Linked DNA regions of Coturnix japonica. The protein of the gene in region 1 interacts with the protein of each later gene in a pairwise test. Links are inferred from orthologs where the notes say so. Each region holds a gene or a part of one and is shown in the gene's direction. Other genes may lie near its edges.

Region 1 (6,581 bases):
CATAAAGCAGACCAAGACAAGTAGGTTTGAAGTTGTCACTTTTCAGTAACTCATTGGACTAGGGAGCTCAAAATGAGAGAGAAATACCCATTCCATAAGTTTCCAGGGCAGGCAGAGCCTGGAGAGACCTTGTGTGAACAGGTGCAATTGGCAATGGTGTGCTGGGACAAGCTGTCCCACCAGTGCTATCAGGGCAGCTCAGAGACAATAAACTCAGTTTACGGCTGCTTCAGAGGTGGGGTTGGTTGGTTGTGTTGTGTTTTGTTTTAAGGGCAATATCACAGTAACATTGTGATTTCCCTTTCTGAAGCCAAATTGAACTGATCTTAGTCTTCAGTAGCTCCACACTAGAACTATACCACGCAGCCCTACCTACAGTAGCACCTTATTACTTACAACTATGCTTGCTACTTAGAGCTTGAGACCACAGAGTTTGTCTGAAGTCACAGCAGTCACCTGGCTTGTGTGGTTTGGCTGATGCTCAGCACGTTGCTCACGCTGGAACCTCAGTGCTTTGGTTCCCAGCCTCCCCAAAGGCTGAGGAGCCCATCTGTGGAGGGCACAGGGGAGCTGGCACCGAATAGCACTGATTCAAGCAGCAGCAGGACGGCTCCCAGAAACAGATCCTGGACCGGAGTCAGGAGGTTTAGTTTGGATACAAGGAGAAAGTTGTTTACAATAAGGGTTGGCGAAACACCAGCACAGGTTGCCCAGAGAGGTGGTGGATGCCCCATTCCTGGGGACATCCAAGGTCAAGCTGGACAGGGCTCTCAGTGCCTGAGGAAGCTGTAGGTGTCCTTGTTCATTGCAGGGGGGTTGGACCAGATTTCTTCTAACACAATTCTGATTCCTTGAGATTGTTTGAGAAGGTAATAAAGAAGATGGAGGCTGCTTCTAAGGCTCTTCATCTGGCAGTATGAGCTTACCCTAAATTTCCTCCCCTTTCACACGGATAGAGTAAAAGTGACTTAAGTTTCCAAATCCAGGTGCAAGCGTGGCTTCCTGAAGCTGGAGAGGATCTGAAGCATGGCTGGGGATGCTGGGACATGAACACAGCAGGTCTGTTGCTGCAAGAGCTGGTCTAATTGAAGTTGTATGGCTGGAGCAACAGCTCCCCACCTCACAGCTTGACTCTTCACATTGTAAGAGTCAGATCCTGAAATCCCATTTACAAAATTCCATCTATTTTTTGACCTGTCAGTGCCAGAGCTCTGTGCAGTGCAGGAATGGTCTGATACCACCTGGCTGAATTACAGAATTGTTTGAGTGGGAAGGGACCATTAAAGTCCAGCTGGTCCCACTCCCCCGCAATCAACAGGGACATCCACAGCTCCGCCAGGTGCTCAGAGCCCCTTCAGTCTGAATCTGGCTGTCCCAGAGATGAGGCACTCACTGCCTCTCTGGGCAACCTGTGCCTCACTGTCCTTACCACAAAAATCCTGTTCCTTATATCCAACCTCAATCTGCACTCTTTTGGTTTGAAAGCACCCACCGTGTCCTGTCACAATAGACCGGACTTTGTTTGCTCTGTAAAATGACAGCATGGTGCTGGTTCCCAGTGCACCTGACAAGTGGCACAGATCCCTTCTGCATTTCTTACCAATCTCTCCTTAATTGCAGGGGTTCCCTGCACCACCTCTGCTAGCACAGCTTGCTTATGAGAATCAGTAAGAATGAAAATACAATAAAGAAAGAAAGAAAGAATAAGCAAGGCATGCAGACACCTGCTGGGAGTTTATTCTGACAAGTGTCATTTACATGCAGGAAGCTGTGATCGTCTCCCTGCAGCGCGGAGCCAACCGCACAAAGCCGAGCGCTCAGCGGCGGACTGTGGCTCCTCCTGCTCTGCCGGTGGAGATCGGGGGCAGTTGGGAGCTCGTGGGATGCGCGTGGCCGTGGGGCTCTTTGCCCTGGAGGTGGAAGGGAAACCAGTGCCATCCCCACGGTGCTGCGCTGTTGTAGCGCGCTGTGCGGGACTCTGTCGCGGGAAGAGATTTAGAGGCGGGGGATGCGCTTGCCTGGAAGGGTCCGTGTTCCCCCCGCGCGCTGTCCGTGCCTCCCCTGCCGAAGCGGTTAAGTGGGGGAGAGCAGCAGCCAGGCTGGCAGATTCCTGCCCTGTGATATGCCAGCCACAGGGTGACGCAAGGGCTGGAAGGCTCCAACTGAACAAGCCATTTTCACCTGCGTAATACGCGCTAGTGGAGATACGAGCGACGGCAGCGGCGGCTCCGAGTCCCGCAGCCGGCCAGACCCAGCGCGGCCGCGCAGCAGCCCAGCCCTCGGCGGCCACTTTCGGTGGCTCCCGCCGCAGCCCGAGAGCCGGAGCCAGCGGCCGCCTGGCAGCAGCATGTCAGCCCCGCCGGACCCCCAGGACCTGCTGCTGGCCGGCACCGCGGAGCGCTGGGCTGCGGCCGGGGCGGAGCAGAGCGCGGCCGGGGCTGCGCTGCGGGATGGAGACGGGGCTCAGCAGCGGGAGCAGCCGGCGTTCGGCTCCGCCAGGGAGCACCCGCCCGTCGCTATGGCGACTGCATCCCCAGGTAAGAGGCGAGGGGTATGATGCTCAACAAAGGGGCCTGGCGGCAGCAGCATCCCCTGCCTCTGTCCCCGTCCCTCCCCCTGCTCCTCGCCCAGCCCTGCTGCTTGAAAACATCGCTAGCGAGTTAGCGAGCGCATAGAAAAGAGCGAGCAATCGCGGCCTCTGCAAATTATTATCTGCTGTGGTGGGGGAGGGGGACGCAGGACCCAGCCAAGTTCCCCAAAGCTTTTTACGATTTGCTGGGCAAAGGCAGTCCGGTTCTCAGTCGGATGTAGGAAGGCATTGGGTTGCAGTTCAACTTGGTGGGGCTCCGTCCTCGCTTGTCTTACACCTGTACACATCCAGAGTGATAGATGGCAAAGGGGTCACTTCACGTATTCCTTACGCACCTGAAATTCCTACATGGCCCCGTGATGTTATTTCAGCACTCAGATTTTAATGGAGTGACTGTTCTGAAGTGGTGTTATCTTTTCTGCATGCTTTTGGAGATAGCATTGTAACAACAGACTTTTGGATTGCTGTTTTAGGGTGTACCTAACTTAAGGTGCGTTTAGTTGAGCCAGGCTGTGTGGGTTCGTATATTTTTTAATTTACTTTGGAGATGTATTTGATTTCCCTTGGTTTGGGGTTCGTTTCTCCAGTGGGTGTGCCAACAGCAAGTGTGCGTGGATTAATGAGGCTCAGAGGGCTTTGGCTTCCAGTACATCCTGATATAAATGCTTTGGGGAAAGCGGCTCTATTTCCTTCTTGGTGATACTTGCCCACTTTCCTCTCCCTCTACTGCCCACCTGGGAACTTAAATAACAACCCAGCCCTTGGGAACCTGGTGGATCCCATCTAGATTTCTCTTCACTGGGAAGCAGGTGTTTCCATTATACAACCTGACAGCGTTAAACTTGTGTCGAGTAAGTTGAGGGTCAGGGCTTGGGACGGGAATTGGTCTCGTTATGCAATAGCTGCAGGAGCATTAGGAACTGCGTTTTTGGGCAGAGTCCTTCCTAATCCCCTTCAGTTAATCAGCACAAAGAGTAGCTGGCCAGAATAATCAAGAGACAGCGTGGCTGTATTATTCTGCTCGTACTCATCTGTGTGTTTCTATCAGGATGTGATTGTGCATCTGTGCATGTGTGCTCTCTCGACATGGATGTTTCCCTGCTGCTTTTCTGTCTGCTTAATGCTACCGAGTTCAGTAGTAAAATGGGATCTAATTCCCATTGGCTGCTGTGGGAAATGTTTTGCTGTTTTGTAGCTGTTTTGTAGCTTTGGGCAGGCAGAAAATCTGCTGATGTGCTGCTCGTTCACTGATCTGAGCCGGAGGTTGTGGAACGTGACTTCTTGCTGGCAAGGGAGGCAGATGGTATTATAAGGTTGCTCGGGGCACGAGTCATGTGCATGGGGTCCTGAGGTTGGGCTGCTCAATGGTGCAACGACACGAGGAAGGAGGAAGAGATCACGTGAGCTTTTGTTGCTCACTGATGGATAAAAATACGGCCATGCTGAATCTCAGCATACAGAACAAAAAAAGGCTGATCTCTGAAATAGTGTAAGTCCCAGTAGACTGAATACCTGTTAACATTTAATGGAAGCTTCTTAGTCTTATTTGTAGATTCAGGCTTAGAGAGTGCAGAATAGAAAGAACGGTAGGATAAAAGAAAAAGAAGAGAAAAGGAAAATAAAAAAGAAAAAGGAAGATAAAGATGAGGGAAAAGGAAAAAAGAAAAAGAGGAAAAAAAAAAGCCTGCTTTAGTAATTATCTGCAAAGGGACTTTGCATCTATTTGTTAGCATCTGTCGAATGGTGGCAAGGTAGAGATGAAGTGAGCAATGCAGACCTTTCCTGATGTTTGCTGACAGTCAGTGTGATTAGCAACATCTTGAGAGCAGGAATGTGTTTTACGTATCTTTCCTTTTGTTTTCCGTGTTTAATAGGTATCTGCTATGTGTGTTTGTGCGTGTGTGTGTTAAGTGTGTACGTGTGCCAGACACAGCAGCAGCCCAATCAGTGGATCTCTGTGCCTGCAGTCTCTATTTGTGGCTGCAGTGCCTACATTTCTGTTCTACATTACCTACACAGGGAGAAGTGCAGCATTTCACGATTCTCTGTGTGACTAAATGTTCTCAAGTTGCTGAGTAAGAGTTCTGTCATATTGCTGAACATCTGAAAGGGATGTCTGAAAGGGAAGCTGGGAAGGATTTCAGAAAACTCTGTAATTCTGCTGCTTAGAGGGGACTGCTGCATGTTCCTAAATGTAGCCATGAACCCATGAAGGATACCTGGCTCCATAAAGTGCTATAAACTTAGAACTCTTGCTACCTAATGGAGCACCTGGGGACAATTCAGGCAAGGAATAAGGCATCCAAACAAGAGCCAACCTGGCCTGTTTGCTTTCCAAACAACTCCCAACACATCCTATATCTTTCTCTCCAGCTCTCAGACAAACCCTTTTTGTAAAGACCACTGTTAAGCTCTTTGAGGCAAGAGAAGGATATGGAGACTGGGAGATTCTCCCAGCATGAGAACAGATGATGGGAATTTATCACAAGATGTTCAGAGATTTTCTTACACAACCTAAACATTTGCAAACTTTCCCCGACCTGGGCTTTTGTTTTAAGTTTGAAAACCAGCCAGGGATTGTTGAAAGGTTCGGGAATATTTTCAAGCTGGCCTTAGGCCCAGCCTTGAGCCAAGCTGGCTTTGTGTCAAAACCTTGTGAGTGGTTTCTGAACGATGAAAAGCAATGGGTTTCACTGCGTGTTCTCTGGATCAACCAAAATCTGCAGTGATTGGAATTACTGAAGAATATTTCCCACAAAGAGTGGAAAGCTCAGAGATTTCTCAAGCAAAGCTGGGGTGATAAGGAGCTGCAGATCTCACAGCTGCTTCTCCTCCAGCAGTAAAGATTGACTCCAGTATATTCTGGGTATGGGCAAAGCAGAGTTCCTCCTGCTTTTACACTTGGCCTCTAGATTTTGCTGACAATATTCCACTCTTTCAAATTGCTCCTTCCTGAAGATGAATTTGGTTTAGGGTGAGAGGAGCTTGCAGGCAGCTCTTGCAAGGCCTGGGAGCTGTTTTGTGTTGATGAAGAAGAGCCCCATATCACCCAACACACCATCTGGTCACAGATTCTGTTATTTATTTTTATACATCAACAGTGATTAAAATTCCTTGAAAAGCATTACTTCCAAAAATATGACACAGGCTGCCAGGCATTTCCCAGAATAAATAAATAAGTTAACGTGGTTTCCTTCGGAGAGATGGCAAAAGGTAAGAAGGGACTCTGCCTCCATGGTGCAGGTGCAGGGTAGTGGGGGAGTCTCTGTCCCTTGAGATATCCAAGGACTGTGGAGATGTGGCACAGAGGGGCATGGGCAGTGGGCATGGTGAGGGTGGGTTCACAGTTGGATTTTGGTGATCTTAGAGGTCTTTTCCAACCTTAATGATTCTGTGACTGTGTGAGTCTATGAGTTAATCCATGGGATGATTTCCAGGCTGTGGTGGCAGTCGCTTCATCTGTGTAGCTGAGGTTGGGAGCTGCCAGTGGACCCTGCTTGCTGTTACTCACACAGGGATGCTCTTTGCCTTCAGTCTGGCACATTGGTCCGGACTTTCCTGGCCATCATGTCCCATTCCTCCTGCTTAGAGAAGCCACAGATGGGGTGTGAGCATGAGATCTGCTCTTTTATGGTTAGGCAGTGTTGCTGTTGGGGTATGTCAGAGCACAACCAAATGCTGAGCAGGTTGCTTTTGCTACCTTCTTTGCCTTCCTGGCCTCCCAAGTATTGCCCTCCGAGATTTGCCCTGCCAGACATCCAAGGGAATGTACCATACAAGGCTGTGTGCACTGTACAGGCTGAGATCCATGAGAACCCATTGTTTTTTGGACAGGGCCCTGGGCAACCTGATCTAGTAAAGGTGTATGTTTGGTGGCCCTGCTAGGCAGGGGGGTTGGAACTACATGATCCTTGAGGTCCCTTCCAACCCGGGTCATTCTGTGATTCTGTGATTCTGTTTTTAAAGTTGCTGACAGAGTTTTCATAGGGTG
Region 2 (5,987 bases), on another chromosome or scaffold:
TAGAGTTCTAGCTGTATTTGAGCTTGAGGTGTTAAAATAATCTGTTTTCATTAACTTAGAGACTGTAAGTCTATTTATTACGAGTTGTTTGTATTGAAGGAGGAAAGGGGTAGGAAAAGATAATTAGAACTAGATGGCATGAAATAAATAGAATCCTATCTGTTTGGAGTAAAAAGTTGTGTCACTGTATTCTGCTCCTCTTCCCCTTTTGCTAAGGTTATCCTAGAGTGTAACAATCATAACCAGGACTCTTAAGAAAAAGCAGTAGGCAGTATGTACTTTATAGAATGTAGTAAAAAGATTTGCAATTCTACTCTCAGTTATTAACCTGCCTTTTTGGAATGAGGAAGCATTTGAATGATTTTGCTCTTCAGTTCTCTCCTTATTTGTGGTAAAATACAAAACACAGGACTTTTAGAAGTGAACAACAACCTCAACCCCCTCCTCCCTTCCCCAAGCTTCAAAAACAAAACAAACAAAAAGCACAAAAAAGCCCCCATGCGTTTTTGAGTATGATGAGTATGATGCTTGCTTTCTTTTATTTTTTTTTTTTTTCTTAAAGGTGGTAAGAAGGTTGGCATCAACCCCAAGATTAACAACTTAATGCCTGGCTATGAAGTTGCTAAATATGATCTAATATGGATTTGTGATAGTGGAATCAGAGGTAGGTGTGTACTATAATGTGCTGATAGTCTTATTGCCCTACTCCATGTAGGTTAGCAGTTGTAGAAGATTATTTTAACTGAGAGCAGAAATAGAAATGAAGTCTGGAGAAGTCTTCACAGAATAAAAATTTTAAACCTCTAAGGATGTTGATCTTATTTTTGAAAATACTGTTCTTATTTTATTTGCTGATCATGAAATAGTAGTAATGATTAAGTTATTACTGACAGATTGTTGCCCCAGTGTGACATGCACTAAGCTGTACCTGCTCTTGATAATAATGTTAAAGTCACAATATTGTTTCATAGTTGCCTTCTGCTAATGATGGGATTGCTCAATTAACTGTCATTTTCTCTTTTCTTGCTTAGTTACACCAGACACTCTGACAGATATGGCCAACCAAATGACTGAGAAAGTAGGATTGGTCCATGGTCTTCCCTATGTTGCTGACAGACAGGGATTTGCTGCCACCCTGGAACAGGTTAGTGGAGTGTGTGTGTGTGCATATATATATACATGTACTTAATATATTGCTGACTAAAAGTTGTGTAGTGCCTCTTCTACTTCTCAGTGAAGGGAGGTTTCATTTACTTTTAGCAGCAGTTGTGCTTTGGACTGCCTAGGACAGCTTGTAAATTAATACTCCAGACATTAATTCAAATCTTGTTTGCTATACAGAACACTGTGTAAATATAGGATTTTATTTTAATAAATACGGGGGCTTTAATAACTAGTAAAAAGTCTATGAACTCTCTACCTTTAACTGAACTTTAACCTTTAACTTTAAAACAAAAATGACTGTGAGTTAGAGAAAAGTCCTACTCACAGTAGTATCTTATAAGAGGTTATAATCAGAACCTTTGGGAACAGGACCTGAGCAAGGTATATGTTCTGTTTTCCCTTAATACTCTATTAGCTTTCCAGTATTTTCAGCTGAGATGCACCCTATGCAAGAAGTAGTCTTTTCTTACATGAACTTTTACTTTTTTTTACTTGAATCGATGTAAATCTCTACCATCTCATCTGTCTGTATCAGGAAGTTTCTTAGATCTATGTTACAAGCATCACTGCCTTCTTAACTCTGAACCTTGCTCTTCTGTAGGGCTATTTTTGTCTCCTAATGCTTGTTGAGAAAGAGAAGGTGAAGAGTTGATTCTTGTCCACCATCTTCATATCACTTAATGTTATCTGTCCTATTCTTCCCTCTCAGTTCTCAGTATGTTCTTCTCTGTAGAATGAGGAGGCTGAGTTTTGTCTGTTCCTTGTGTGTCAAGGCAAATAATTTAATCACTCCTTTTTATGCTAAGCTGGCATAGATAAGGCATTTTGGTTCTATTCTAATAGTCAAATGTGAGAGAAAAAAGCATGGAGAAATTCAGTAAAGAGAGGGTACCCTGAGTGAATTTTTTTTGGAGCAGAAAGTCTAAATTGATTTTCTTAAAAGAAGAGAGCAAGAAGCTGTAGCACACAACTCTTATTATTCCTACTTGCAAATAGCATTCTAATTGCTGCTTCTATGCTCCTGGAAGAACTGTTTGCTTCTAGTTCCAGTGTACCACAAGGTCACCTTGCCTTTTGTTGAATAAGCTGGTGTGTTAGTGAGACCATCAATAGGATGAATAGCACTAAGATGCTAGAACTTGCTTCAGCTATGTTTTTGTAGGAAACTGCTGACTTTATACTAGGTCTTCTAAAATGCAGCTTTTTCAGTCTGAAGTGTCTATTTGGCTATTTCATCTTGTTGGTACATTAAACAAAAATTCTGTGCTTCTGTACTGCTGTGTAGTAAGCATCTATGAAGTTGCAAGAGGAATGAGACAGTATGTCTGTTAGCTGTAAGTGAATAATATATTATTTGAGTGATTAGTAGTTTGAGTTTTAATATATGTGTTACCTGAGAACAGCCTAAATTAGAAATTTAGTGTTGAACAAAATATGGCAGTTCAATATAAAAATTCAAGCTGTGTCTTAAATCCATAGAAACAGAGTTCACATCTATTAGATTTCTCAGATTTAGTGTTAAGTTAGACTTCTTACTCGGATAGTGAAGAACTTTCCAAATATTAGATCATTACTGGATATGTTTAGAATTTTTTCCTTCAAATACATACAAAAGAGAGAATTGTCAGTAGTAATGGCCTAGCTACATGTAGAGCTCAAAAACCTTATCTTGTTTTTGCAGGTTTATTTTGGAACTTCACATCCAAGGTCATATATTTCAGCCAATTTAACTGGCTTTAAGTGTGTAACAGGAATGTCATGCTTGATGAGGAAGGATGTCTTGGACCAAGCAGGGGGACTGATTGCTTTTGCACAATATATTGCTGAAGATTATTTTATGGCCAAAGCTATAGCAGACCGGTAAGATCACTGCAGCAGGCTTTTGTTTGAAATACAGTTTGTAACTGTTTTCATGTGTTACGTGCTATACATGTAGGTAGTCAGGTCAACTTCATGTGTATGTACCAAGCGTGTTTATGGCATATGCTTTGTTCTGTCAGTTATTGGAGAGATATACTCAAGTCCATATAAGCTGCTTTAGAAAAATGTTTGAGACATTTAATTGTTTAAGACGTTTACTGTTCCCCAAGTAAGAGATTTGGTAGAAACATATTTAATTTTTTTTGCTCTTATGCATTGTAATAATATGGCATATATACTAAAGAAAATATCGAAGCTTAATAGAATTCTTAAAATGTTTGTTCTATAACTGTTCTTTGAGTTTCTTATTTGCATGTTTTTCATAATGCACACTTATTTTTCAGAGGGTGGAAATTTGCAATGGCCACACAAGTTGCAATGCAGAACTCTGGTTCATATTCAATTTCTCAGTTTCAGTCCAGAATGATCAGGTAAAATTTTAATTCTTGCTTCCTCTCTCTTCCATTAATGTCATCTGCTTCTGTTGTGGTTAATCTAAAAATGGAGTGAATACTTTCCCAAACTAATTTGATGATAATGTGAGGAATGCTATAGTTTCATTGCATGGCTAAAGGTGCTGACTTTCCAGGGAAGCAAGACTCATGCATGAGTAGTTTGGTTTGTTTTTTTAAACACTAAAAGCCTAAGAAGAAAAAAACACAATAGCAACAAAAATAAACTGGTTTCAATGCTTTACATAGTGCTTTTAAAAGGCTGATTTTTTTATTTTTTTTTTTCCCCATGTTTATTTTGGAAGTGTAAATTAAACAAGAATGATGGCTCATCACCTGACGAGTTTCGGGAAGAGGTTGTAAGAAATTACATGTAGTCTGAACTGTATTTTTTTTTTCCTAGATGGGCCAAACTGCGAATTAATATGTTACCTGCCACAATAATATGTGAGCCAATCTCAGAGTGCTTTGTTGCCAGTCTGGTTATTGGTTGGGCAGCTCATCATGTGTTCAGATGGGATATAATGGTATTTTTTATGTGTCACTGCTTGGCCTGGTTTATATTTGACTACATTCAACTAAGAGGTGTTCAGGTATGTCACCTTTCTTTTCAGAGATTATGAAAGAACGAAGAGATAAATGTGATTATAATGACAAGATACTTCTCTTGATATCATCAAGGAAGTGCTTGGTCAAATCCTGTTACCTCTGCTCACCTGCTAACTTTACTTAGAGTAGCGTGAAAGGTGTGCTTGGTTGTGATCTTATTTTCTTTGTGTACTTACCTCTAACTAGCCTCTGCAAGTTGACTTCTGTCTCCCTTTCACATTTTTGCAATTGTGTTTCTGGTCTTCTCTACTTTTAGGCATGCCCAGAACTCTTGGCTTTATTAAAAAGTAAAAGAACAGCAGCTCTGGAATTGTAGTTAGTTTTAAATCTTTAATTGTTCTTCTGTCTTTTGTATCATGAAGCTTATATGTACATTTTATGTACACTTAAACACATATATCTCTTCTGTATTTTGATACTGGATGTAGTCTAATTTTAAGAAATATAACTTCCTTATCACTGGAAGAAGGGAGATTTCAGTAAAACCTTTAATATTGAAATAGCACAAATCAAAAACACTTGCTTTTCTGATGCTGTAGTTCTTCAGGCTACTGTGTCTACTGTGACCCTATTCCATCTAAATCTGATCCGCAGTTATTTGTGCGTACAAACTATGAATGAATTCTCATCATACTGAAAAACATTCTTGTTGTAGTTTTAAGAATTCCTGGAAGGAAAGTCTAGTTCTACTGATGGAGTAGAACACTAGTTTGACGGTCATTTCTCTGATTGCTGTAATTGCTGCATGATACATACATGGTGCAGTAGAAGAACTTTGAGCCTGTTCTTCCTCTTCTGAAGCCTCTTCAGTTTGCAGCTCTGTATGTAGCTGGTAAATCTCAAAGGAACAGTCAGTTCAGAAGGGCTGTCTATAAATGTTTTTAGATCTTTTTCCTATTCAATAAGCCAAAAGCTTGATTCTTCTAATTTCACTCCCTTGAGCATGTGTGGTGGCATATTCTTTAGGTCTGTGGTATAAACCTATTGCCTGCTCTCAACACAATTTTACAAAGCTTCAAAAGGAACTATAAATTGAAATTGTGACTCTTCTTTGTCTTTTGCATTGCATACAAGTCACTTTTTGAATCTTTTGGGTCATTCTGCCAAATATCTCATGTTTAACATGGGTAATCATATCTTGAAGGAGGAAAAACTTCTTAGGTTCTAAAAAATAGAATATGCTTTTGATAATGTCAAAGTGTATGTTAAGCCTTAGAGTAGATTTATCTTTAATAGAAATTACTTCGAAACTCATTTGGAATAGTTAGTATGCTTAAATATTTGTTTTTGTATTCCTAGGGTGGTGCTTTATGTTTTTCTAAACTTGATTATGCGGTCGCTTGGTTCATCAGAGAATCCATGACAATTTACATTTTCCTGTCTGCTTTGTGGGACCCCACTATTAGCTGGAGGACAGGACGCTACAGGTTACGTTGTGGAGGCACTGCAGAAGAAATCCTTGATGTATAGCCACAGCTTTGTAACTGTGACTGTCAAAAAGAGAAAGGGGGATCGAAAGTATTATAAATTGTTTATAAAAGTACTTTTAAGAAAATCTACCTTCAGTAGTTTTACTACTTGTATGTTTTGGTATCTGTTCTTTAATTTATTTTTTGCATGGCACTTGCATATCTGTGAAAATACATCTGTAGTCTTGGCCAAATGGTATTTTGCTCCTGTGTACAAACAGAAATGGAGAGAATTTTTTTCTGATACATATCTGCTACATGAATACTCTGCAGTGAACTTTTCCTTAAAAAAAAATAAGTATCCTTCTGGATATGAATGGCTTCTTACTCCATGGTCTGCTGGCCTAGCAAAGCCAGTGGTCACATTACTATT

Evidence for each region.
Region 2: the proteins of RTN1 (region 1) and UGCG interact in a two-hybrid assay, tested with the Homo sapiens proteins (2 studies listed by BioGRID and IntAct). The link is inferred for Coturnix japonica from reciprocal best matches to the Homo sapiens genes RTN1 and UGCG.

The regions. Positions count from the first base shown.
Region 1 is NC_029520.1:49,711,783-49,718,363, forward strand, and holds the start of RTN1 (reticulon-1), read left to right. Parts: upstream 1-2,035; 5' UTR 2,036-2,347; coding exon 2,348-2,537; intron 2,538-6,581. UniProt on the Homo sapiens protein: Inhibits amyloid precursor protein processing, probably by blocking BACE1 activity.
Region 2 is NC_029547.1:58,821,833-58,827,819, reverse strand, and holds part of UGCG (ceramide glucosyltransferase), read left to right. Parts: intron 1-562; coding exon 563-664; intron 665-1,031; coding exon 1,032-1,144; intron 1,145-2,845; coding exon 2,846-3,024; intron 3,025-3,428; coding exon 3,429-3,515; intron 3,516-3,939; coding exon 3,940-4,129; intron 4,130-5,444; coding exon 5,445-5,615; 3' UTR 5,616-5,987. UniProt on the Homo sapiens protein: Participates in the initial step of the glucosylceramide-based glycosphingolipid/GSL synthetic pathway at the cytosolic surface of the Golgi.